Linked DNA regions of Arabidopsis thaliana. The protein of the gene in region 4 purifies or fractionates together with the protein of the main gene of each other region. This does not show direct contact. Each region holds a gene or a part of one and is shown on either strand. Other genes may lie near its edges. The genes, in order: VSP1, REF6, CHR17 and AG.

Region 1 (3,972 bases), on a different chromosome or scaffold from region 4:
CCATAAGTCCAAAACTTCTTAGAAAAAAAATGTCATCAAAGGTTATATCATATATAATTCATTAGTCAACTGATATTAACCATTAAAAGATTTCTATCAAGTAAATACCGGAACTTAACAAAAGTAATTAGTAAGCTAGTGATAGAGAGGTCTCAATAATTGTTGACATAGAAAAAAAGAGGGCTCGCAAATTAGTAAGCTAAAATTCATTTTTATCCGTTTAGTAAGCTAAATTAGTTAAAGAAACAGAACCAGACCGTCAAGACGTGTGATGAAGCAATGCGTTTTATTATGGAAACAACATTAACTTTGGAATGCGACATGCAATATGCACGTATCTTTCTTTTGGAGTCATTTGAATCGTGTGTGTGTGTGTGTAGCTATGTATGTAATTATTGAGTACTTACGCAACTTAAATTTCGTATGGGACTTTTAGTGATAAATATACAGTATACCATTTTTCACGTTTAATGTCACATAATTTTTTACATTTACAATATTCATAAAGTTTCCATGCATTCATTTTTTTCGAACAATTCCGCTATGTATGTTAGACGTTACATATGCAAGTAAAAGAAACAAAATATAAATAATATACGAAAAATCTCTTCATTTTAAACGTTACCGCAACTAGATCATTCGACTATTTCAGTATTTCAATATTCCACTAAGAAATCTATAATACCAATTTTGACCGGTGTGATTTACACGTTTCACATGGCGAACATTTATCTTCGTGACACAATCTTCTATCATCTTTTGAAGATTGACTGAGTAAATATTGTTCGCGCGCTGGTGTACTCATTTAGTATTAGAGGTGACAAATTCTCTTGCAACAAGTTTTCTGCAAAACAAATTATTGGAAAAGAGTCTCATGACTAAATTATTCCCAAAATGTTTTCGGTTTCAGCTTGATGAAGAGGAAGACGTAATTGTTGAATTTGCTTATCCTTTGTTGCCTCCAAAATGTTCTCGTTGTGGTAAATGGGGTCATCTAGGGGATGTGTGCGTGATTAAACCTCAGTCTCCAATGAAAGAAAAAGCAATAGTAGTAGAGGAAGGTGAGATTGTGTCTGTTGATTCTGCAAACATAATTCAGACTATTCCAGATACTAAGACTGTCAACAAAGTTAAAGCTGTAGAAGAATATAAGAATTCATAGTAGTTGGTAGCACAGAAATTCTTAGAGTTGACTAAATTATAGTATAAATAGTTATCCATTAGTTCTCATAGAAACAAGAAAACTTAAATTTATGTCGTTGCAAAACCTTGCTTTGTTTTTGTTTAGTTTTCTTGTTAATCGGGTGAATTCTTGAGTCCATTTTAATCTCCATGGTCTATAGAAATTCATGTTTTCTGGTCATGCAAGACGTTTACCGATCGCCAAACATTTTAAAAAATAGTTGAAGAAAATCAAGCTTTAACCTAAAATCAACATAAGAACTCCAAATTTTAAGCGGAAGCTGCTACTACCCCACCACAACTTGATTTGCAACACTTTGCCTTAATATATATAAATTCTTTAAGCTATTTTAAATAGATCTCACGAGGTTGTATGCCTTAGAAAAAATAATTATATTGTTGGAAGAACGTACAATTATCGTTGAAACTATAATTATCGTTGTACAGTACACCCATCTTTTCTCGCTCATTGCGGAAGCTGTTGCCAATTACTCGTTTATACACATCACGTTTTGCATTATTGTTTTTGTCAACTACTCTATCAATTATTTATCAAAGAAATAAAAACTTTACTCTATAAATTATTTCCGCAAACTCAAGTTATACACGCAAACATCATCATGTCCACGTACATTTTTCTACTAATGTGGAATAATAACTTCACAGTAATTGAAACCCTGATCCAAAATCAACAAGCACAAAAGCGAACGATAATAATAGAACTTAAACAACGACACGCCAAATTCTAATTTAGCACAGTCTCAACGTGCTCTAAAAACGAGTGGTGTAAGTGAAAATATCTCGTTGGTTACAAGCATAATGGGACCAACAAGCATTTGCATCACTCGAAGCCATACGTACACTTATCTCCGCATTTTCCCATCGGTCTTCATAAGTAATCATACCTAACCCACCTCATTATATAATACCACCCTTTGTGTCACACAAATAAACACCATAAACTAAACAATAAACCATACAAAAAAATATGAAAATCCTCTCACTTTCACTACTCTTGCTCTTGGCCGCTACGGTCTCCCACGTCCAGTCTTCGGCATCCGTTCCAGGGCTCATCGAACTCCTCGAATCGAACACCATCTTTGGGAACGAAGCCGAACTCTTAGAGAAAGAGGGACTGTCCATCAACTACCCCAACTGCAGAAGCTGGCACCTTGGTGTTGAGACCTCTAACATCATAAACTTCGACACGGTGCCCGCAAATTGCAAAGCCTATGTTGAAGACTACTTGATCACTTCCAAACAGTACCAATACGACTCCAAAACTGTAAACAAAGAGGCATATTTTTACGCCAAAGGACTTGCCCTAAAGAACGATACCGTCAATGTTTGGATCTTTGACCTAGACGACACTCTCCTCTCTAGTATTCCCTACTACGCTAAATATGGATATGGGTATATACATATTATTGTACCTATCTACATTGAATTAATAATATTATCGTCATATAGTTTTTTTGAAAATGTTTAGCTGTCATATATGGAAAGACACGTTTCATTTGACAACTTTAAATATTTTAACTAACCCATCTAACTGTTTTTTTGGGTCCATATCTACTTTGTGATTTCATTCTAATGTAGATTTTTTTTTGTTGGATTCTTAGGACCGAGAACACAGCCCCGGGGGCGTACTGGTCGTGGTTAGAGTCCGGAGAATCAACTCCAGGACTCCCGGAGACCTTGCATCTATACGAAAACCTCTTGGAACTCGGGATTGAACCCATCATAATCTCTGACAGATGGAAAAAATTGTCAGAAGTCACTGTCGAGAATCTCAAGGCTGTTGGTGTAACAAAATGGAAGCATCTCATACTCAAGTAAGAATTAATCAAGTAGCTTAGTTATATATAGCAAATAATGTCATATGTGATTGAATATCGAGGACTATATATGGAAACGCAGGCCAAACGGATCGAAGTTGACGCAAGTGGTGTACAAGTCAAAGGTTAGGAATAGCCTTGTGAAGAAAGGGTACAACATCGTTGGGAATATTGGAGACCAATGGGCTGATTTGGTTGAGGATACTCCTGGAAGGGTTTTTAAGCTCCCAAATCCACTCTACTACGTACCTTCTTAATTAAGCATCTATCTTCATGGCATTGTCCCCTTGTATCCATTTCATATCTATGTCGTTTCGTTTATCTTTGTAGCCGTTTTGGCACCACTGCTTAAATAAAATGCCAATCCTATCATAACTCAATAAGTACAACGACTTCGTACTAAATTTTGTTTTTCGTTAAAGGGATCATTAATCAAGTTTCCATGAAATGATATCTCCATGTAAATATAACAGTTAACACAACACTATACCAATCTCTTTAATCATGTATAGAGTATAGACTATCATTTTCTATGAATATCTTCTCACCATTTACGTTAAGCTGGTAGTGGTATAACACTCATTCCTTTACGTTATATGATGAAACCAATGTTTAAACCGACTAATCCTTAGGATTGATATTAGTTGGGAACACATCATCTTAATATGATTCGAGTTTTAACTACATTCCCTTTAGAGTGATTAAAGTATATGTTGTTTGGTAATATAGTTTTTTTTTTCTTTGACATCAGATGTTTGGTCAATAGTTTTTATGAAATAAAAACATAAACTTTTGTCGTTGCAACTTTTTTTTTTTGTTGTTAACCAGGGTACTTTCAGACCGAATAATTTAAATAGTTGAAGAATTTTAATCCCTAAACTATACGCACATGAAGACTTCATATTTCAAATGGAAACTACTATTCTACCACTACAAGAATATAGGCTCTTTC
Region 2 (7,949 bases), on a different chromosome or scaffold from region 4:
TTTATTACATTTGTCGTTTATAGCGTCACGAATGAGAATCTCAAAGAAACCGTTGCTTTAATTTGTTGACAAGGTCCAATAGTTCACATTTCATGCACACTTTTTTAACTTAAAATTATGCGTTTCAGATATTTCTTTGAGAATTGCAACTAAGTCCTTATCGTATTTTGATATTTCATAATTATGCAACATAGCTTTTAATTGTACAAGCAGCTCCTTTATTTATCAAATCAAAGTCTCTCTCTACACCAGGATTGTTATTATAGACTAACTGAAGAAGACGAGAGAGAACACAACAAAGAGATGAATCTTTATGCAACAAACAATGGCAATTCCAAATGTTAAGTCATTTGGTCTTTCGTTTGTGCCGTGTGCTGAAGTCAGAGAGTTTTACATCCTAGTTGACACAGGTAATGTCATTCATTAGCAATTTGGTAGGTTTGAGTCTTTATCAAAGTCAAATGAAGTCCACGGCGATGAACTCTGACTGTCAACCAACCAGGATAAGCCACGTATACAACCATATATGTCAAATACTTGAGTAACACAATGCTTTTCCTACACCAGGATTTGTTGTTGTTACAGATTCATTCAACTGCAAAAATAGAGAATACAACAAAGAGAGAATCTGTCTGAAAGTGAAAACGTCTGCAACAAACAATGGCTATTCCAAATGTTAAGACTTTGACTTTATAATCCCGAATTGACAGAGGACCAGAGAGACATACACACTTAGAAAACCCCTAATATTCGTACAATCCAATTTTCTTCTAATAGATCAATGGAGTAATCTTCTTCATGATAGATTCCATGTTAGAGCCTAAATCACCTTTTGTTGGTCTTCTTAACCGAATGACCGGTCTTCCTTTTATGCCGGCTGAAGTCAGAGACAAACCTGAATGTTTGACCACAATCCGGTTCAGCGCAAACATAAGGCCTAGCGCCTGTGTGAACCCTTATGTGCTCGGTTCTAGACCAAGCCCACTTGAACGTCATCTTACATCCCTTCCATGGACATTTCAGAGGACGGTCGTCTGAGTGAACACGCTGGTGTTGAACCAAATACTTGTGTGAGAAGAAGTTTTTACCACAGCCTTTAATTGGGCATATGTTTCTTTTGTGTAACATCAACTGTTTTTCCGAACTGAAACTCATCGTGCAACCCTCCATGTTACATTGGTATGCTGCACATTCCTCTTCCTCATTCTCTTCTTCTTCTTCTTCTTCTTCTTTTTCCTCCACATCTTTTTCAGTTGCAACTCTGGAGAAGGAAGCATTACCACTTCTCTTCTTACCAATCTTCTTTGGTTTTGTTTCTAAAGACCCTCTCGACGGCTTCTGATGTCTCACCCTAAGCCGTGTGCTAGGTCCCTCCATGTATGAATCCAATTCTTCATTCTTCTTTCCAGATGCAAATTCTTGCAAAAAGCGACCTTTTGTGTCTCTCGAACTCTGAACTGTCTTGGTTTTTGCTATTCGTTTGGCTGTTGACCTGGTTTGCCTTTTCCCTGTACTGCAAAAGCCTCGTTCCTCCAAAGAATTCTCTGCTGAATCATATTCACCAACCATTCGATTAGCTTGCCTATTACTTATGGATATTCTTCCGCTTTGCTGATAAACGCCATTATCTTCTGACTCATATGAAACTGGATTCCTAAAAACTCTTGTCTGTTGGCTCCTTGGAATCCCCCTAGGCTGCCTGTCGATATCATCATCATCATCATCATGGTCATACATTGAATGCTGAGAGCCATTCTCCATTGAGCTCTCTGAAGCTGCACATGCCCGTACAGTATACTCTTCCCCAAGTGAACGGTCTGAAACCTCATCATCTGACTCAAATTCTTTATAACCTTTATGTCTGATAATTCCCTTGTGCGGATCAGACATTTGATTTGATGAATCACCAGAAGCTGTGTTCCCTGTCTCAAAATAAGACTCTTCCTCATTCCCGGAAGCCCTCCATTGCTGCTTATAAGAATGATCTTCTGATGTGTCATCAGAAACTCCATCTTCCCTCTTAAAAGAAGTAAGCTTCTTGCGTGGCACCGCCTTTGCTCTTATCTTTCTCTTCCTACAATACTTTCTTCCAAACATTGTTGTCGAATCCCTGGAAACATTATTAGGAAACGATCTCTTTCCAGTGGCATCCTCATCCATAGCAACTCGAAGATGACAACTTCTTTCAGATTCTTCCCCCTCTAAGTCCTGCTCCAGCAAAAAGGGATGCACCTGAAGAAAGAAAAGCAAATTGAACCAAACAGAAGTGTACTAATGTCTGAATTAGTATGGATTCAGGTTAGACAATAGTACCTGATGTGACATCCAAACCTTACCACACCATTTTCCAACAACATATTTCCTCTGTCTGGACGATCTTTTACCAGAGACTTTGGGTTTCGAGGGTGAGCTCGCTACTGGAGAGCTGCGACCGAACGCCTTGTATATGATGGAGTTATACGGCATCTGCTTACTGTACAGAGGAGAGCGACTGAGAATAGCGCTGTAAGAAAGGTTAACACCCAATTTTACGGTCCAATCACTGTTCCCACCCTTAGCTTCAACATTATCCAACGCTGCCTGAATCGTTTCCTCATCCTCTCGGGTCACATTCCTGAATTCAGTATCATTCCATTCGTGATTGATGACGAGCTCTTCGGCAACTATCTTTGCTTCAGCCTCTATCCTGGGGTACTCTGCAAATGTTGTGCGTCAAAATGATGAAAAAGACTAAAGAATTGCATAACTGATACAGAAATACTAATAAAATGAATCTTGTAGTTTTGATGTTACCTGGATGGCACAGTAACATTAAGTTAATCCCCCCAAAAGGACGAAGTTGCTGTTCCACTTCCGCAGCATGCTCAAGACAAAACACGTGCAACCGACATGAATCGTCATCAGATCTTGGAATAAATGGTAAAGCTATTTCCAGAAGTGATGATTTTCCGCCTTTGCTTAACCCATTCTGTTCGCTGGTTAGTCTCTGGCAGTTAAAATCAGAAGTTCTACCATCTCTAGCCTCCTCATGGCCATCTGAACCTTCTTGATCATACGTTTTTGTTTCCCCTTTGGAACTAGGGGTAACTAAGCCTTTTTGATCTTCTTCCTCGGAATCAGAAGAGTCTCCATATGCTGAAGCTAACATCCCAAGAACATCATTATCTTTATGCGCTATTGTCGGGGAAGTTGTTGAAGTTTTTTGATCGCCAGTCTTCACTGAATGATCCATAGTTTGAACAGGAACATTGTAGAAGTAATTTACATCATGCTTCTCTTTGCTTTCTGCATGATGAAAAAAAGTTAGTAAATGCTAAATAACAGCCAATAACCGAAAGTGCGACCTGTAACTTACGAGGATGAAGTGATCTTGCAGCCTGACCAAGATTTGCAGATCCAGAAGCAGCTGTCCAATCATTGAAGAAGCTACAATCTGCAGACATGAGATATCTAGCAGCTGCTTCTTTAGGTTGAACGATAGCTACACAATCAAAGCTTAAGACTCCACATGTAACACAAGAGAAAAGCCTTTGATCCGAAAGCGCAACAGCTGCATCATTCTTCCTCCTTTCAGCATCAGACAGAGTTTCTTGAGTGTCCTTCTCCGTGCTTGCTAGGTGATTTCTGCTCCTTTCACATAAAGATGTAAATTTTTCTTTCACTGAAACTGTATCCTTTAAACCGTTACTGAGATCAACCACAACACTATCAGAACTTAAGTCCTCACACTTTAACTGGATTGGGTTTTCCTGGTTGGTTATCAAATGGGATCCAATTCGCAGGTCAGAACAAACTGATATATCTGAGGAACTCTGTGGGAGAAGGGCCACTGGGGATCCTTTTCCGAGAGAAGAAAGCAATTCGTTGTTGTGGATAATGTTTTGCACAAATAGCTTTTTGGTCAATCTTTCTCCTTCGCTTCTTGCCTTATCTTTTAATCTAGAACTCCGTGGTTTGGGATTGATGCTTGTTGGCACTCTGCAATGAGTGAAACATACCTTATATGAGCCCTTCAAGCAGCTTAAAAAGTTTGAGTGTGTCTATAGAAAAGAAAGAGTACCTAGAACCTAGAGCCAATACAAAGTCATAAAGTAGCTGGAGATGAGAAACCATTGGAGGGTAATTTATAGCAGCTCGCCGGATAGCAGCATCTTTAGCCATTCTCAACCATTCGGGAGTGGCAATGTTAGATGCTTCTCCAAAATTAAATCCTGTACAACCCCCACGATTGTTTTTATGGATAATATAAGTTATTTCAACATACTAGGCCTTTGAATGGTTGACTTAAAGATACTAAATATAGGTCGCTTACTCACCATGACTAAATCCCGAATGATAAGCTCCCGGAAAGGTGACGACAAACTCTCCAGGATTTTGCACTAACCTGATACAAAAAAACCACTTGCGTGAAAAACCAGAAGAAGAAAAAGTGTGCCAATTATAAGAGACCAAAGAAGAGACATGCAAACAACAAGATGATGAGATAAACAGAGCACAAACATAAAAAACCATTACCTGCAACACGGTATTCCGGCTTTAACAAATACTTCAGGAGACATCACAGTTGTCTTCTCACCAAGAGTAGAAAATGTCACTAATAAGACAAGAACGTAAGAGGCATAACCAATTAGTTTGCTTGCATACAGCTTCTACCCCTGACAACTTTTGGAGGGAAAGAAAAGCATTTAAAAGCAACAAAAAGAACAGAGACACAACAAAGCCAACAATCAGAACAATGAATTGATACATTGAGTAACTATGAGTCACTAACACATAACACTTATCATACTCACCAAGAGGATTGAGCTCTTCACCGTAACCATGAACCCTAACAACCTCCTCAAAAGCCAGAGCAGCATCCTTTGGCACACCGTACCAAGTCTTACCAGCACCCATATGCAAGTAATTGAGACTATGAAGGTCATGGTCCTCCACATGCCAAGCAAACCAACTAAACATCATAGCAACATACACCATTGGTGATGTAACTCCAGGGATCTCTTCCTTCATGAACTTAAGCAATGATCCTTCGGCTCTAGACATTGCCCTCATGTTCCAAGCGGTCTCACCAACTGTTCCTCCTTCACCACCAGACTCTCTCCTCCTCGCAGCAGCCAGACTCAGAGGGATAAAAGCCGAGCCAGGCATGTCATTGGCATACTCAACAGAGAAGGGTTTATCCACAGTGGCTCTCCAGTAAAGTGTTTCAATTTCAAGGGCAGAGAGTTGACTCTTTTTACCACATTTCTTGAGATAATTCTTCTCAAAGTTCTTAGCTTTAAACTCGAACTCACCAAAAGAGTACTCCTCTCCACTCTGCCACACAGGTCTCTGCACTGGACGCTGTTTCCTAGGGCAAAACCCGATCTGCTGCTGGCGCGTGGCGAATGTGGGACCACCGTCATAATCACACGCGCCAAAGCCGCCGTCACGAACCCTCGCCGCCGCTCTTGCCGCCAGAGAACGGTTGAGATTAGAAATCGAGGTTTTTTTGGAAGGAGGAGGCAGTGGAGGCAGAATTTTACAGATTCCATATCTAGAAGCTTCTTCTTCAATCTTCAAAATGTAAGCGATCGGATCTTGAAACTCTGCTAGAGTAGGTCTGAACTCTGGAGCAACCGGTAACGATTTAAGCCATGGAAACACATCTTGACTCTGCTCTGAAACCGCCATATCTCTCTCTCTCTCTCACACACACAGGGAAGAACAAAAAAAAGAGACTTTCTCTCAAAATTTGTTCACTTTAACTTCTAGGTATCAAATTAAAACGCCATTACAGAGTATAAACAGAACAAAAATTTTGAAGAGAGGAAAAAAAAACAAACTTTAAGAGAATCGACGAGTCTCCACCATTTCTCCGGCCAATAGAGTTATTTTCTTAAAGGGTCATTCACTTTTCCTCGAAAAAAACGACGGGCTTTGTTGATCTCGTTTCTTAGGTCTCTCTGTTTTTATTGGATTAAAGAAACAGAGGAAAAAATTGTATTTTTTTTAGGGGGTTGGGATGGGTTTGGGCAGAGCAAGAGATTGTGATATCTCTGTATTAAAACAAGTAAAGAACACTTAGTTAGAGAGAGAAATGGTTTTTAAAAGGGTATGATTTTCTTATTATTTACGATTCTGCCATTTCTAACACACATTTGTTGTTGTCCTCTCTGTAAATCCGTTTGCACATTCAAAAACTCCTTTTTAAAACCAAACATAAATCCCAATTTTAAGAGTAAAATTTTTGATGGTTTTAAAAAAGATATTTCTCATTAAACATTTTTAGTCTTTGGTAGTTCATGAAATTAGTAGAAATTAATGTATGATATAAATGTCTACATATATTATTGTGTTTGTTATGCTGAATCCAAATTTGATTTTTATGAATATGAATGAGCCCAAAAAAAAGAATTTGAATGAGCCATTGGTTTAACGAATGTTGCCTCTACCTACTGACTAAGACAATAAAGCAAAGGGTATAATATGCTTAAAATACACCAACAAAAGCTCTAAATCTTTAGAAATGACTCAAAAGTTAATAAATAAAAATAATTAAATGAAGAAGATTCACAATTAAAAATATCAACATTTCTTAGGAAAATAAAACATATTAAGATAAGCACAACAATAATTATAAGTACATTTGAGAGTTCATCAGAGTAACAAGGCTAAATAAGTGTCTCAATAACCTCAATCAAATCTTCAATGCATCTCTCGGCAAAGTAAAAATTAAATTCTCTGATAAAATAAGCTTTGGCTTGTTCCTAAGAAGGCCTTATGTTCTAATACAGAAGAAGATGATTTTAGTTTGACACCTGGTTCTGTTCCATTTCTGAAGATGGCTTCGAAAGCTCGAGTGTAACCGGACAATGATCACTCCCATGGAAACCTGAAACAAATCAAGAACCAAATTGTTGCAAAAAGAGCTAATAATAATCTTCTATGAATCTGTGTGATGAACAGGTTTATCTATGGCACCTTCAAGTTCTATCCCACGACCGTGCATCTTACAAGAAACTATACGGTCTTTGAGTTGTTCAGAGACCAGAAAATAGTCGATCCTCATCCTCTTTCCCCGGTACCTATGGCAACCAAAACAAAAAATCAATATATAGCTTTAGAAACATGCGGAGGTTCTGGACTCCAAGCCATAAAACTAAAATGTGTAGTATCCACTCACTTTCCAATGGGATTCCCCGACCATGAGAAGCCACTTTCCATTTCTTGCTCCTTGTGTAGATACCGGTATGCATCAACAAGCCTTCCTCTGTAACAGTTCCCATAAATATAATTTATAATCACATGTTTAGTAACTCTAATCTGTATTCTAGAAAGTACTACTACTAAGACTTCGCAGTGCAAAGACATATTACGCATACTCTTTTATAGTTGCCCCGAAGCGTCCTCTCTCAGATGGTGTAAATCCAGGCTGTCCGCAGTCCTGCATAATCAAAAAACTCAAAACCACTGTAGTCATTGTATGATTTAAAGGTCCATCTCACGGAGAACCTTTCGGTTCAGGCGTAGTAAAGTCATCAACAATAGCAGGGTCACAATGCAGATGAAGAGACAAGATAGGAAGAGAAATACAGGCGTAGTAAAGTCATCAACAATAGCAGGGTCACAATGCAGATGAAGAGACAAGATAGGAAGAGATATAAAAGGCCGACGGAAAATAACATTATTGAGAGCCAGCTCTGTTTTTAGATAAAAGCTATAATGATAATGAATAAATCGTACAAAATATGGTATTCCTTACCTCTTTGTTTGGAGGAACATAACCATTAAGCTTTGCTGTAGCAAAAAATTCTGGGTGGCTAACATCTATCTCCTCATGACTGCGTATTACAAAAATCGAATCGAGGAAATAACATCAACTTTTATTCTGTAAGGGCTTAAGGAAAAGAGTATAGCAAGAGAAGATATAGAAAAAACTTCCTCATTACCTGACATTTAAGTCGCCA
Region 3 (7,697 bases), on a different chromosome or scaffold from region 4:
TGATGGATTCAACACAAGCCTTCTTATTTCCTACGCTTTCCCTGCAGAGACATAAAGTTTTTTTTTAGTTAGGATCAGAAATAGATGGTCTGTCTGCTTTGCATGAATTAACCAGTAAAATGAAAAACTCTTTTTATGTTTTGGAAATGATTTTGAGTACCGAGCTCACATAATCATCCATTGACAGCTGCTTTCGTTTCTTCAGAAGAGATGAAGGGCTCTCATTTGCTTGCCTACCCGAAGGTCGTTTTGATGGCGTTGCACTCTGAAACAAGTTGTAGAACAGATCATGAGAAACAATTCCACAGCATCTCATCAGTAAATGAAAATGTAAACTTAAAATGTTCTTCGCACAAAAAAAAAAAAATGTTCCTTCAAGTCCTCACCTTTGAAAGCTTCTTCTCTTTTCGGGCTTGCCTCTCTCTCTCATCAAATTCTTGATTCTCTTTCTCAATCAACCTGATTAGTGTGTCACATCTCCTTGCAAGTTCCTGAGTTGTGCGGGATTTTACAAACCAGTCAAACCTAAACAAGGGGGATGTCCGAAACGCTGCCTTTAGCTCATCCCAGTTTCCATACCCAAGTTTATGGACCATGCATATCTGATAATCACAAGTTCATCGGGTCAATATCATATTAGAATAAAACAATAACAATGAAATCTCAACAAAGAGTTTGATAAATAGATGTCATACCATGAAACGGTCGCACTCTTCATTGTACAGCTTCCCTTTGTTCTGACCATATTGAATCTTCAGTTCCAGCCACGGGTTTCTGTAGCGATCCAGTTTCTTCCCAATAGCTTTCATGATTTCATCTTTCCTAGAGATTCTTGCTTCCCCTCTCTCAATATTCTTGATGATTCTGTCGTAATCTACAATTTTTACAAAGGAAAACAAGAGGCAGAGCTTACTTAGGATAAATATCCAACTTTGTCGCACTGCAAACACTCATTAACTTTACTTAACAATCTAAAGTTACTAACCATTCAGCTCTTTATATCGCACTTGGAAAACTTGAGCATATCGTTCAACCTCTTCCTCAGTTTTCCCTTCCATCTCAGAGGCAATACTCTTTATGTCGTTCCGGCCATACTTCTCACAAGCCCTAATGAAGGCATTGAAGTCTCTTCTGCTCCATGTTGAGAAACCCTAAAAAATATCAACTCCATTAAATTATAAAAAAACCATCAAAAACAAATGTCAACCCACAGTAAGGTCGAATGGTTTGGCTTGCCTCTTCCAGCAATAGCTCCTTTTCTTCCACTTCTTCAGCAGTTAAGGGATCTCCAACTTCTGCAAAATTATTTCTTAAGTAATAGATTCAGTAAAATAATGTAAGAAAAGAGGGCAAAGACTGAGAAAGACCTTCAGGTTCATCAACCTCAATTGTGTCTTTCATTTGAGTTTTCTGATGTGCTTGCTGAAACCAGAGTGAAACAAATTGCTATTCAGAACTAATCAGACACAAAAGCTGCATAAATTACATAACATGTTGATAAACTTGTTATTCCCACCATAAGGTATCGCACTTCTTTTTCATACAGCTCAGTCAGCCTCTGAATGTTAAAGAACTGAAAATCATGCCTGCAGGATGGACAAGAAATTAGATTTTTACGATAAAAGTACTATAAATAAGACAGGGAAAAGGCTAAATGCAGAGTGGAGACAATTGAGGTACTCACAATTGGGGCATGCGTGGAATTCTAGGCTCTTTAGGTTTAGCTGGAGCACCTTGTCGCAACGTTTGCTTGAAGTATTCAACTTCAGAGTAGCTAAAGGGTGGGTAGAGAAAAGTAAATTGTTGAAGTTAGATATTGTTTAGGAAGACAGGATAGACCACGTAATGAAAAAGTAGAAGTAATATTTACTTGCGCTTTCTCTCTCTTTTTGGTGGATCATTCCAATTTTCACTCACAATCTTTTTAAAATCCACCTTGCTCTCATCCTACCAAACAAAATTAAAAAAGAAATCAGGAAACGATATTCGAAAAACTGCAGAGCATAACCACAGTATGCGTTAAACCTTTCCTTCAATCATTCAATTAATTATCCAAGAATACCTTGTTGTCATCGTCAAAATCATAAAAGTCAGCACCTGCAACAAACCAAAAACTATCTTGTTTGGACATCCCATTACCCATGCAAGGGAGTTACCATTGGAAAAAGGGATAAATAGCACACTTACTGTCATCCATTTTAAACTGTATTGCATCTTCAGTAAATTTCTTCATCTTGGCATCAAGTTCAGCCGTTGCCTCTTCTCCTTTGGCAATGATTCTGTCAATATCCTCATCCGTAATTGTGCTATCTTTAGAACTAAACACCATTTCAGCACCATATCTCACCATTTGAAGCAACTCATCCTTATTAACAGCTGGAAAGCAAAGAAAAGAAATCAGTATATATATGTAAGAGAAAATCCAATACATCTAACAGCCTCAGTACACAAGCACTTACTTTTCTGTTCTGCCAATCTCCCTTGCTGAATAACCAGAGCATCAAGTGCCAACTTCTTGTAAGCTCTCTCAATGACTTTAGCCTCAATAGCATTCTGCATAAGACCAATGCAGAATTAGTTCAAGTTCTCCAGGTCATTCTTACTTCATACACATGGGTACAAGAGTAACCTCGGTGCAGAACCGGAACACTTGAACTTCTTTTTTTTGACCAATCCTATGTGCACGATCCTGAGCTTGCAAGTCAACTTGAGGGTTCCTGCCATAATCCACCCACCTCATTAGGCATAAAAGAAAACACTCATAAATTACAATGGACACAAAAAGAGCCTTACCAGTCACTATCATAGAGGATCACAACATCTGCAGTAGCAAGATTGATACCAAGTCCTCCAGCTCTAGTGGATAACAAGAAAACGAATTTCTCACTTCCTGGCTTGTTATAGGCTTCTATGGAAGCATCTCGTTCGTCACCACCAGTATTTCCATCAATACGGCAGTACTGGTAACCACGATACATTAGGTAATCCTCGAGAATATCCAAAAGCCTTGTCATCTGATACAGATGAGCAAAATCGTTGGAATAAGCACAAAGAACCAAGAAAGATATCACTCAGAAAAAAGGAATCAAAGATAGGAACAATTATTTGTTTGCGTTAATGAATACCTGAGAAAATATCAGAACCCTTGAATCTCGATCCTTCAACTTAGGTAGCAATTTATCTAAGAGAACCATCTTACCTAGAAACAAGAACATGTAAAGAGAAAATAACTAAGCCAATTGCCACATTTCTGAATGATCTACTTGTAATGTAAATCTTACCTGCGTTTGTTACAAGGTGATCTCCTGTAGTATATGGGGGACCAGGCTCCGCACCCTGGAAGAGATAAGGGTGATTGCAGCATTTCCGCAATTGCATTGCTATGTTCAACAGACGTTTGCGTTCTCCACCACCATTAACCACTTCAAGATCCTTCTGCAGTAAAGCCTTGTAGTACTGTTTTTGCATTTGAGACATGCCAACTTTGAGTATTGTCTCCTTTTTTGGAGGTAAGCCTTTCTCTACATCTGATTTTAACCTCCGAAGAAGAAATGGTCGCAGAACCTACAAAGATGAGGTAAATGATTAGCATAAGAACTTAGAGAATAACCTTGATAAAATATGAGTACATACCTTGTGAAGTTGTTGAACAACTTCTTGCTGGTCGTTTTCACCAGAAATTTGAAACCACTCGTCAAAAGTTTCTGCTGAACTAAAAACCTCAGGGAGAAGAAAATTGAGAAGGGCCCACAATTCATGGAGATTATTCTGTAGTAGAAACATATGAAATGAATACAATATTAACTCAAGCAAATCAAGTACAGAAGATAGTAAGAAGCATGTCTAAGGAACACGAAAAGAAAAAAAAACTAAGTTCAACAGACTCAAGCAAGAAAGTAGTTTCAACATAGGCAGAAGCAATCTGACAGAAAAATTGAAGGATCTAAACAATTATAGATCAAAAGATTTGACAAGTACCTGAAGGGGGGTTCCCGTGATAAGAAGCCGATAGTTGGTGCTGAAAAGTCTCATGGTTTTCGAAAGGAGTGAATTCTCATTTTTAATTCGATGTGCTTCATCAATGATTATATATCGCCAGCTAAAACGGCGCAATGTTGTCTTCTCTTTGATAGCCATCTCAAAGCTTGTTACACAAATGTCGAATTTCCCTGCAACTAGCAGTTCTTCACGAATATGTCTCTGCATTATTTAAAATATATCTCAGAATCCTGCCAGGTGCATATAAATGCAACCATTCAAATGTAAGAGCTATTATGACTTACTCTTTCCTCGGGATTACCGAGAAATTTCACAGCACGCAGGACAGGACAAAATCGGCGAATTTCATTCATCCAGTTACCAAGGGTTGATTTTGGAGCAACTACCATATGAGGGCCATTAATTCCCCTGTACTCATGCAGGTAAGCCAACAAAGAAATGGTTTGAAGCGTCTTCCCCAGACCCTAGACCATGAACAAAAACAATAAAGATTAGCATCAGATAACATTAGAGAGCTGAAAAATCTTATTATATGCTAAGATAATTAGTGGTTTACCATTTCATCTGCAAGAATCCCATTTATGCCGTTCTCATACAGCCGAATGAGCCAGTTTAAACCAGCTAATTGGTAATCTCTTAACTTCCCCTGAATACCTGCAATATGAAGAGTATGAAGATCAGATCTCTAAATTCTACAGAATTTATGCAGTCCTACCTAGAAATTGTGAGCTCGCAACTGAAGAATATATCAAACAACTCTACCAATCAAAGAAGTGGGCATAAGGTGTCAAATCCTATAATAACTTCGACTCGCAATAGGACTTGAGCAAACATACGCTATATCAAGATATTAGGAGCAAAACAAAGGTACTTACAAGCGGGCTGAGTGAGCAACCGTGTGCCTCCAGATCCAACTATACCACCCTCTTCTTCTTTTAAACACTCTTCATCTTCCTCTTCCTCGGTTAGTTTGGAAGAATGGCGACCCCTGACGATAAAGTGAAACCCAATAAATTATATTTCTGGAAACTTAATATGAATAACCACAATTTATTTTGAGATAAGTTGCACTCAACACACCTTCCTTTTCCCTTCTTCTGGGACGGAGACGGGTCACTTTTAGCAAAATGTGCAAATAACTCAGTTTGCTGCAGAAGATACTTTATCCTCCCCTTTCCTTTATTGTTCTAATAAATGGAATGATTGAGTTATTTCAATACCTCTGGATACTAAAGACAAGCAGCTCAGTTATTTACTAACTTACCATATCAGCATCTATGGAAGCATTTTGGGAGTCTAAGATTTGCTGAATTTTCTGCTTCTTCATCTTCTGCATTTCTTTGAGTCTAGCCTTCTCACGTTTGCTGATCTCAGCTTTCTCCTCGTCTTCTTCGTCCTACATATAACCATCAAATTATGAAAAGAGTGACCAAATATCCTCACGAGTCACATGAATGTACCATCATAATGAGCGACCACCCATCATTGTAAGCACTTCTAAGCATAAACCTTCAAACAAAGAGAGTCGAAACCAAAAGACACCCAAATATCGAATATACGCTCAAAGGAAACCCTAATCTTACTTAGAATACATTCAGATTTCCAAATACAGCAATCCCCGAATTCACAGCCGACATGCGAATGTAAATCGAAGAGTGGAAAACAGAAACGAAGACATACCTCTTCAGCGTCATCTTCTACGGGGACAACCTCGTCGTCAGAGACAGGTGCTTCGTCGGGCGCAACATCTTCCTCGTCAGAGCCCGCAGAGCGAGCGACGGCCTCGAGCTCGTCATCATCTTCTTCCACATTGGCCTGATCGTTAACTTGCTCCTCTTCCTCCGACGAGTAAGCCTCGTCTGAAGAAACTTCCCGCTTCGAAGCTCTAGCCATCGACGCGCCTCTACGAATCCTGATTTCGTCTGAGAGATCGAATCGAGGGTTCCTGAGTTTTTTTTGCTTTGGTTAGTAAATAAACAAAAGTGAAATTAAAAGCAACAAACCCGACGTTTGAAACGACCGTAGCTTCTATTTTACCCCGTTGATTTCGAGAAATCAAATCTACGGCTGAGATGTGCCACGTTGGCTTGACTTATAAAGATTCTCCCGCCACTTGAGAAGTAAGAGTTTCGGAAATTCCCGCCTTGGAATTCGGGCTTTAAAGGCCCATGGGCTCGAAGTTAAACTTAGAAGAAAGCGAAAGTCAAAAAGGTCAACTTCTCGTTCTTATAACGGAACGGCCTTATCCATTTATCCGCCCGAATCACGTATCTGACACCTCAGCACTTGAAGTTGCGACACGCTACACACCTAAAATTCCAATAATACCCTTTGAAAGAGCCTACACGCTTGTCTCATGCACCTTTGCGTATAGAGGATGAAAGTGGAAGTTAAGAAAAAAAAAACCGAATATTCGTATTTTAATCGCCGTTTCTTTTCTTCTATTAGCTTCTGTTTCGCAAGATCACGACTTCTATATAATAATATATAAGCTCGCCGTATAATTTTCTTGCCGGGAATAATCTCCGATCATCGTCGGAAATTTCCGAATTGTTGTAAAAGAAGTCCAATTTAGGCTTTGGATCCTCAGTTTAATTTATCTGGGACTTTTGGTTGCTGAAATCTCTTTCGGGTTTTGTCCTAATCCTCATTAGTTTGGGTTTCGTGAGTCTCGTTTTATAAGGTATATTTTTGGCTAATTTGCTTCCGAATTCTGCTTTGTTTTAGCTCAATTTTGCCCTTAACATTGGTTGATGAACAGAGGATGATGTGGTTGTGTTTATTGTCTTCTTGCAGAACATGGGACAAAAGAGATTGTTGTTCTTGCTGGCAGTTTTTACTTTTCTTGTTTCATCTTCATATGGTAGAGGTGGTAATGCAACTTCTATAATGATTCTATGTCTGTTTCCTTTATTGGGACTTCCAGTTTTTTTATTCTCCTGAGTCTCTCTGAGCTTAATTAAGATTTTAAACTTTCTGTGTAATGTGAAGTGCTTGGGAAATTGGAAATTTAATCTGGCTACAGTGATTTTTCATTAAGGCCTAATTACATGTTCTATCATGTTTGGAACAAATCAATTCATAATCCTTGTAGCATCATCATATACATAAGGAACCATGAAGGTCAAAATATTGATTTCAAAGCTTTATGTTTTCGACAATTTCATGTTCTTGGTATGAGTTGTGAGGCTACGAAGGAGTTAAGACTGAAGCAAGTGGATTTATGTTAGCTTCTTTCTTCTAACTGCAGTTCTCAAGTTGAAGAGCGATGATGATCGACCTGTTTACAACCATACGCTTGCCGTCACGCTTGTGGAGTATGCCTCTGCGGTAAGTTAATGGCAGATTAGTGAAGTAGTAAAAGACCTTTGATAATGATTTAGCTTCAAAACGTAATACCCTGTAGAACGAATGTCATTTATATCTAGTGTTCTGCAAGTGAGAAGAAATTACACTTGTCCTCTTCATATTTTCATTTATCATTATTTGCACTACTAGAGAAAAGAGATGATGCTGATAACGTACATAAGATGAGTGAATCAAGTTTGTAAGATGTATGCAGGTCTATGAGTCTGATTTGACAAAACTCTTCACTTGGACGTGCGAAAGATGCAATGGTTTGACAAAGGTAAAAAACACATGTTGAAGCAGATCACTGTTTGAACTTTGAAGCCGCAATTATTGAGTTGAGCTCTAAC
Region 4 (7,656 bases):
ATGAGCTTGATTATGACCATGATTTATTGAGAACAGGTATGGAGCCATCCGATAATGTTTGCTCTTGGTTTACGAAATGAAGCTAGGCAGAGATAAGCTATTGTATGTGCATTTAAAGAAAATATGGTTAATACTCTTGTATGTGTTTTCACCGAGCAAGACGCGAGATATTGAGACCGGGTGGTGAATGTATTCCTGGTAGGCAGCTACAAAATGAACGAATGTTTCGACATTTTGCAACTGTACCACATGGGGAGAAGGAGGAGGAGGATGGAACTCAGCACATGAATATATATCATTATCATATTGAGACTTTTCTATAATAAAATCATTAATAGAGCAGGAATTGGTAATTAAATACAACAATTGAACTAATAGTACACTTATACACATAGATGTTTTGAAGCAAATTAAGCACATTAATGACATGTCTTTAAGATATTAATTTCACATCAACATAAGCATAAAATTCACTGATACAACATTCATGGGATAAATATATATATAACATGCATTAGCTTTATATTGCTTGCTCAACCCAATTCTGGTTTTTATTCACTCCCGGCCATTTCCTTCAGCCTATATTACCTACAAAACAGCATAAAAGACCAAATCCATGCTGTCAAGTTTTACAAAATGGACCGATTAATAATATAAGACTAGAATGATTGATCGGAGCAAGATTTTGTGTCCTTACACTAACTGGAGAGCGGTTTGGTCTTGGCGACCCGCGGATGAGTAATGGTGATTGTTAGGTTGCAATGCCGCGACTTGGAAATAATTCCGTGAATCAAACGGTTGAGATTGCGTTTGAGGTGGTGGCATAAGCTGCTCGTAGTTAGATCCTCCTGGCATTAGACTTATACTCGGATTGTTCCTCTCATTTTCAGCTATCTACATTACACAAATATATGTCATAAACTATTTATCTACAAGTACTTTCACCATTTTAATCGTTTTCATATAATATTTATTGAAACAATAGGGAAAATTATAGAAATTGATATATAATGTGTACTTTTACCTTTGCACGAAGAATCTGGTTATCGTTATGCAAATCAACTTCCTGCTTAATCGGTGCAATGCAAATGAGCAAAATTATTATAAGAACATATTAAGAATAGAAATTAAGTTAAGATTTATTTCTTACTCTTTTCTGCATGTAGTCGATTTCAGAAAATAAGAGCTCATTCTGTAAAATTAAACAAAAATTAGCAACAAGGCATATAGATTTAATTTGATATTATATTGAAGCATTTATAAAAAAAATAGAATTACCTTCTTGGATCGGATTCGGGTAATACTTCTCTCTAATCTGCCTTCCAAGTTCCTGAGCTCTTTGGGAGACATTGACCCTATCGTCTCACCCATCAATTGCCTAATTGATTTATCAACATATGTTAATATATCAAATAGTTAATAACAACCAAGTAATCAAATATTTCAAGTCAGTTAGATAATTAACCTGTTGGAGTTTTGTATGCTGATTATTTGTTGACGCAATTTGGCTGATTCTTGTTGATAATACTACAACAACAACAAAAAAAAAAAGAGTAAAAGAATGAACAATGTTGTCATGTCATCATATATTAATTAAAATCATTCGTGTAATATTAAGTTACCACTTACCTGTGCATTAATTTCTGCCACCGATCCGGTGTTAGAATTGTCCGATATTGCCTTCTTGTACCTCTCAATAGTCCCTTTTACACTGCAATAATTTTTTTAAAGGAATTAATAAGTTAATTAGACCTATTAACTACCTATTTTCTAAACTTAATCTACGCTTAAATCTGCATTTTGATAAGTAATAAAAAATAAAATTGATAGGGTCAAATCGACCACTTGCACAGTTAAGTGATTCTAATACGAAACCTTAAAAGCAAACATCGGTTCTTTTGAGTCAGAAGAAATGCAACTTAATGTGACACATGATGTGAAGAAAAAACAAAAGTAATATAAGAAAAGGGAACAATTAAATAGTTAATAAAATATTTCCTTAAAGTTGTAACAAATAAAGAATCATTTTATGAAACAATATGAACCCTAAATAAATTAAAATTCCTCTGAAACCTTAAATTTATCGAGCTAGTGATTGGCTGCCAACTGCCATGCTGGCAAAATTAGAGTGACATGATTGGTCTGAACATGTCTAGGGTTTCAGACATGTGACATGTGTCAACAACCCATTAACACATTGGGTATAAATCCAATAGACATTTGATAGTATTAAAATTGTAACCATTGGATTAAATTTAAACGTGATGGATGTAACTAAATGACTTGTCCGAGTAACATCACAACGTTCCATACTTTCCTTATTTGGAATATAATTAAATTTACCATTTATTCTTTTTTCTTGAGTTTCCTGTATATGTACTTGTACATAGATATATATACACAAATACGTATTACAATGACATATTATAGACTTTGATGTCTGAACTCTCAACCTTCTCGATGGAGAGATCATGACCGTAGATTTTTTTGGATCGTAGAAGGCAGACCAAACTCTTAAACTATTGGATCCGTACTAAAAATCTCACTTTCCTCTCAGTACCCATAATGAGAGAGAAAATGATAAAAATCCCTAACATTATTCTCTCTCTAGAAAAAAAAAAGATACTTCAAAAAGAAAGAGAAATTGCATAAATCTATCTACACCAAAGATGTTGAAGCAATTCCAATGCTATACTTCTATGCCAAATCTATTTATTCAGTGATCATTAATCTTTTTACTTCCAAGAAATATGAACAATTTAGTATCCTTATAATTTTTGTCTCTATATATGTAATATGAACATTGGGTATTGACCAAATGAGAAATCTAATATTAAATGGTCAAAAGTAGTAATATGATGACATTTTTGAATTTATAAATAGGTTACAAATTAATTCATTATGACATAAAACCTTCTTGTCAGAAGTCAAGAACTGAAACTAACAAAACTTTATAATAAATTAGTAAAAATACAAGTGAAAAATAAAAAGAAATAATATCTGAGTGATGACGTGATCAAAGATTCTTTAACAAAGACAACAAATCTTACAGACCCAAAACCTAATCTTGCGCTCAATTCCAACCTCTGAAAAAACCTCAAAAATCTTATAAAAGAAAATAAATAAAGAAACGAAACTCTGATTTCGTAGAGTACCCATCGGATATATAAAAAGAAATTAGTAGGTAAATGAAGACTAATTTTGATTGACTGATTTAATTTGAAGTCGTTGTTAGCTTTTCTTGTTTTGGACATGAGAATTATATATTTCAGGACATGAGAGTTGACAACTGTAAACGATTAAGAAAATTGATCTTTTAATTTTCAAACACCATTTAATCTTGACATGTTTTATGTTTTGGTGGAGAAGAAAGTAATCACGTGGGACTCTCTACTAATAAGTATTTGGAAATTGCGTGTCGAATTAGAGATTACTAGTTTGAGTAATGTAGTTCGAAATGAGATTAGTTATTTTTAATTTTAAAAAGAGTAATTTTAAGGAATAACAAAAAAGAGTCCCCATAAGCTAATTTGTCTTAATTACCTCCTTGTTTCATTGACTATTTGAAATCTTGAAAATTCAGTTGAAATTTCAAATCTATGTTTCTTTTGACCACTTCTAAACTAATCTTAGCTCATATATAATTTTCCAAAACTACAAAAATAACACTAACATTTAACATTCTCAAGAGAAAACAAAAACAAAAACTTAGATAACCATCTAAATTGTCCTACATGTACGTATAAGTTCCATTATTTTCTATCACTCATATAAGTTAAAATTTCATGAAAACTCAAAAATCTAGCTAGTTTCACCTTATTCACTCTCACTTACCATCACATGTGTTTGTATCAAATATATGATATGATATAATTCATGAGAGAGAAAGAGAGCTAGAGATAAGAAAGGAAAGTAAGAGAAAGAAGAGAAGAAAAAGAGAGACACAGACATTAACAACAATGGAGGATGGATGATCACAAAACAGAAGATATGACCTCATAGTCCTTCCTTACTCTCTCCCCAATTTGTTTCCCAAAACTTACTTTTATAGTCATAAAAATCAAGTTTTTACCTATTACAACACCAGATCTATAAATATATCTAAATCTTCAAGTACTTGTTAGTAAGGAAAATAGAAAGATATAAGATTTTATTATTATTATAATAACAGAAATGAGTGAAGAAAGAACACCCAACAAAGTGAATCTTAGTTCTACAAAACTGAATCTAAAACTCCACATTAGAAAAAACCCTGATGGTTTCTTATTTCTTTTCATTTATTATCTAACTCTCACTCAGATCTCCTTTAACTTTGTACCATTTCCCTCACTTCATATATCTATATATAACAAATTCTCTCTTTTTATTTAAGTCTTAAGGGAAAATTAATATACACATGAAGAACAAGAAATTAGATCTACAAAATTGTTACAAAAACCCCCGAAGTAAATAAAATAAACATATCAAACAAATATTCCCACTAATGTTAGTGTGTTTATATATATATGTGTGTGGAATATGAAGGAAAAAAGTGAAAAATAATCCTACCCATAAGAGCATTCAAGAAGAAGAGAATCAAATCTAGCTTAGAAGATCGAAAACCCTCGTAAAAGATTTATGCTTTAACATAAACATAAAACCCTAAATCGGACTTTAAAAATAATTTAATTATTAATAAAGTAAGAACAGAGCACGAGAAGAAGAAGAAACCTGTTGTTAGAGTACTCATAGAGACGACCACGGCTAGAGAAGACGATGAGTGCGACTTCAGCATCACAAAGAACAGAGAGCTCGTAAGCTTTCTTGAGCAAACCATTTCTACGTTTGCAAAAAGTGACTTGACGATTCGTTGTGTTCTCGATCCGTTTGATTTCGATCTTTCCTCTCCCAGATTTCCTCAAGGGAGAGGAATCTCCTCCTAGCTCCGATTGGTACGCCGTGATTGCTGCTCCAAAGCCAAAAACGTTTAGGGCAAAATTTGATTAGTACAGAATTACAAGAATCCAACAAAAAACCAATCAAGATTTTCTTGAAAAGACTCAAGATTCTTCATGTTTTCTATTCTTTTGAATTATGGTTGAGATTAAAGTTAAACTATAAAGATTTAATTTAATTCTGTTGCCGACACACATCTTATAGAAGGAATTATAAAGTTGAAGAACTTTATTGATCTTACATTCATATTCTCCTAACAAGAGTTAATCAAGAAAGGATGGTAATACACAAGTTATAAACTAAGAACAAAATTGTTTTGTAACCATAGGGATAATTTAAATCTAGAGTGTGAAAAAGAAAAGTTTTAAAGAGTTAAAGAAGATCAGAGAATTTGTGAATCTTGTTTCTCTCTAAATAACATAAAAAGAATCAAATCAAAACGGGAAAAAAGGAAACTAAAGAAGAACAAAAATTTGGTTTAAGGACCAAAAGAAGTGAAGCAAAGTAATATTATGAAGAAGATAATGTTTGAAAGGATTGGGGAACAACAAAATACTAGCCTGACCTGTTGGGGGGAGAAGAACAAAGGGGAAAGTTTTATTTTTCTTGGGAAAATGATTTTCTGGAAAGTATGAGATTTGGAGAAGTTGCAGAAAATGGAAGGTAAGGTTGTGCTGGTGAAGAGATGGGTATATACATTTATAAAGGAATATTTTTTTTCTTTTTAATTTTCTCTACTATTTATCACCATTTTTCCCCACTTTTTACATCCATATAGTGTCTTGTCAATTTGTGTTTGATTACTGGTTTTCTTACTCACTAAAGCATAGTTTTATGAATGGAATCTATGAGATAAGTATGTGTTTCTTCTTTATTAGATAGAGTTAATATACATGTATTTTCTGAAAAGTAATTCTATTTAAACTGGTTTTGGAACATACACATGTTAGATAATTATGTGGTGAAAGTTGATTTTGAGAATTGACAAAAGTTTTGTACTTGGTTGATAGTTATATATGAGGGAAGTATAATTAATTAAACTGGTGTTTCTTTTCAGTACATTTAGACATATGATAGGTTAAAATAAAAGATTGACATAGAGCAATCTAAAGGTTCACAAAGCATGAGTACATCAGCTTTTGAAATCACATGAAAAATATTATTAATAAATAGTGTTAATTACCATAAATAACACCCACCATACATCCGGACTTTTCATAAATATAATACTTATTAAGGACACCCCCAAATTGAGAAATTGTAGAAATGAATAAATAGTTTTTGGAAATGAAGAAAAAAAGAGAGAGTTATTGGTGGGTAGTTCTTGTGTGGTCTTTCACAAAGGTCTAAATGAAAAGAGGGTTCAAGTTGGGCAATCACTCATGAGATGCAGACTCTACTTACCATTACTTGTCTTTGCTTTTCATGTGAAAGTTTTTGAGGCACTAAAATCTTTGGGTAAATCTGATCAGTACATTTTTTTGTTACAACAAATATCGATCTTCTTCTTTGTTTCTAGTTTTTACTAAATCTTGATCTTTTTAAAGAGGAAAAAATTTCAGCTCTATTCCCTTTTCTTTTGTGAATTGTTTTAAAGATTTAAGTGACATTCTGCAGGAAAATTTGTTTCACTAATTAAGGAAGTTATTTATAAACAAATATATGGTGTTGTATATTTGATACCATTTTACATTATTTTGCCAGAATAAATATAAGAAAATGGATTCTGGATACTGAAAATATTAAAGAATAGAATTTCAAAAAATTTATGATAATATTGTAATTACATGATGAGGTGTAATTTATTCCGTATATAGTAACTGATGGTGTACAAATATAAAGTAACATATAAAAGAAAACTGTGTAATTAGATATATGGCTAAACTGATTATTAGTAGTAAGAACCAATATACTTATCTATTTAATGGTGTGGCAAATATAGAATCGAATGATGTAAAAAGAAGGAGAAAATTACTCAGATAGTGAAGAAAATTAGCATACTATTTATGTTAGTGAGATTTGAAGTTGATGATGTTTACTTGTTGTGATATTGACATATAAAAAAAATGATAAATTAATAAGATAAATAGGGTTTTAGGGTTTATAGGGGAAATAGGGAGATGAAGCGTACTTTTAAGGGGCTGGACAAGACGTAGGGCTTAATTTGGAAAGTTATTTAAGTGTAATGCTTCTGACTCAATTAGAAGGTAACCAGACTTTTCTCTCTTCTCCAACTACTTTAATCTCTCTCTCTTTTTTTACATTTTCTTTTTGACTTTTGTCGCCCTCTTCAAGATCACAGCTCTCCATATTGTTTGTGAAACTACTATATGAATATACATAGGTGACTACTTAATAAATTTTGTTGAAAAGTATCTAACTGTTAAAATAGTTCTCCTAATTGGCTAAATGGATTAAAATTTAACCCAAAATATGGATTAATAATCTTTCTTGTTTTATTTGATAAAGATCTTTGTAGCTCGTATGTGGAAGAAAAAAATTGGGTAGATATTTTCTAACATTTTGTTAAATAAGTTATTTTTAAAAAATGTTGAATAATTGAGGAGCACAATGTATAAATGGAGTAAGGTTATGCCAAAAGAAGAGGGAGAGTAGCATGTGATGTGTAGTCTTTGATCTCCATCTTTATGAACCCATTTAAGGTAATTTGATAGAGATAAGAGAAACCTATATGTATATACAGTCCATATTCATATTTAT

The links.
Region 1: the proteins of AG (region 4) and VSP1 purify together in Arabidopsis thaliana (co-purification; one study listed by BioGRID). This does not show direct contact.
Region 2: the proteins of AG (region 4) and REF6 purify together in Arabidopsis thaliana (affinity purification with mass spectrometry, with the first as the bait; one study listed by BioGRID). This does not show direct contact.
Region 3: the proteins of AG (region 4) and CHR17 purify together in Arabidopsis thaliana (affinity purification with mass spectrometry, with the first as the bait; one study listed by BioGRID). This does not show direct contact.

The regions. Positions count from the first base shown.
Region 1 is NC_003076.8:8,507,088-8,511,059, reverse strand, and holds VSP1 (vegetative storage protein 1), read left to right. Parts: upstream 1-1,858; 5' UTR 1,859-2,170; coding exon 2,171-2,595; intron 2,596-2,804; coding exon 2,805-3,017; intron 3,018-3,082; coding exon of another isoform or gene 3,083-3,102; coding exon 3,103-3,277; 3' UTR 3,278-3,470; downstream 3,471-3,972. UniProt on the Arabidopsis thaliana protein: May function as somatic storage protein during early seedling development.
Region 2 is NC_003074.8:17,933,333-17,941,281, reverse strand, and holds REF6 (relative of early flowering 6), read right to left. Parts: upstream 6,027-7,949; 5' UTR 5,674-6,026; coding exon 4,794-5,673; intron 4,595-4,793; coding exon 4,516-4,594; intron 4,385-4,515; coding exon 4,317-4,384; intron 4,236-4,316; exon of another isoform or gene 4,212-4,235; coding exon 4,061-4,211; intron 3,979-4,060; coding exon 3,356-3,978; intron 3,286-3,355; coding exon 2,794-3,285; intron 2,697-2,793; coding exon 2,314-2,696; intron 2,233-2,313; coding exon 826-2,232; 3' UTR 490-825; downstream 1-489. Other genes in the region: AT3G48425 (DNAse I-like superfamily protein), read right to left, coding at 6,789-6,874, 6,964-7,067, 7,166-7,252, 7,365-7,426, 7,745-7,823, 7,932-7,949. UniProt on the Arabidopsis thaliana protein: Histone demethylase that demethylates 'Lys-27' (H3K27me) of histone H3, thus acting as a positive regulator of gene expression. Demethylates both tri- (H3K27me3) and di-methylated (H3K27me2) H3K27me.
Region 3 is NC_003076.8:6,196,167-6,203,863, forward strand, and holds the start of CHR17 (chromatin remodeling factor17), read right to left. Parts: upstream 6,001-7,697; 5' UTR 5,893-6,000; coding exon 5,680-5,892; intron 5,396-5,679; coding exon 5,264-5,395; intron 5,187-5,263; coding exon 5,080-5,186; intron 4,988-5,079; coding exon 4,875-4,987; intron 4,654-4,874; coding exon 4,556-4,653; intron 4,464-4,555; coding exon 4,284-4,463; intron 4,201-4,283; coding exon 3,979-4,200; intron 3,769-3,978; coding exon 3,634-3,768; intron 3,565-3,633; coding exon 3,282-3,564; intron 3,200-3,281; coding exon 3,126-3,199; intron 3,015-3,125; coding exon 2,794-3,014; intron 2,718-2,793; coding exon 2,630-2,717; intron 2,554-2,629; coding exon 2,460-2,553; intron 2,377-2,459; coding exon 2,188-2,376; intron 2,098-2,187; coding exon 2,063-2,097; intron 1,948-2,062; coding exon 1,871-1,947; intron 1,775-1,870; coding exon 1,685-1,774; intron 1,587-1,684; coding exon 1,517-1,586; intron 1,423-1,516; coding exon 1,368-1,422; intron 1,296-1,367; and 12 more. Other genes in the region: AT5G18630 (alpha/beta-Hydrolases superfamily protein), read left to right, coding at 6,799-6,871, 7,250-7,329, 7,562-7,627. UniProt on the Arabidopsis thaliana protein: Possesses intrinsic ATP-dependent nucleosome-remodeling activity. Constitutes the catalytic subunit of several complexes capable of forming ordered nucleosome arrays on chromatin. Involved in the formation of nucleosome distribution patterns.
Region 4 is NC_003075.7:10,381,201-10,388,856, reverse strand, and holds AG (K-box region and MADS-box transcription factor family protein), read right to left. Parts: upstream 6,002-7,656; 5' UTR 5,177-6,001; intron 4,946-5,176; 5' UTR 4,941-4,945; coding exon of another isoform or gene 4,817-4,940; coding exon 4,711-4,816; intron 1,876-4,710; coding exon 1,786-1,875; intron 1,712-1,785; coding exon of another isoform or gene 1,704-1,711; coding exon 1,630-1,703; intron 1,528-1,629; coding exon 1,466-1,527; intron 1,379-1,465; coding exon 1,279-1,378; intron 1,193-1,278; coding exon 1,151-1,192; intron 1,067-1,150; coding exon 1,025-1,066; coding exon of another isoform or gene 992-1,024; exon of another isoform or gene 895-991; coding exon 698-894; intron 589-697; coding exon 585-588; 3' UTR 318-584; downstream 1-317. UniProt on the Arabidopsis thaliana protein: Probable transcription factor involved in the control of organ identity during the early development of flowers. Is required for normal development of stamens and carpels in the wild-type flower.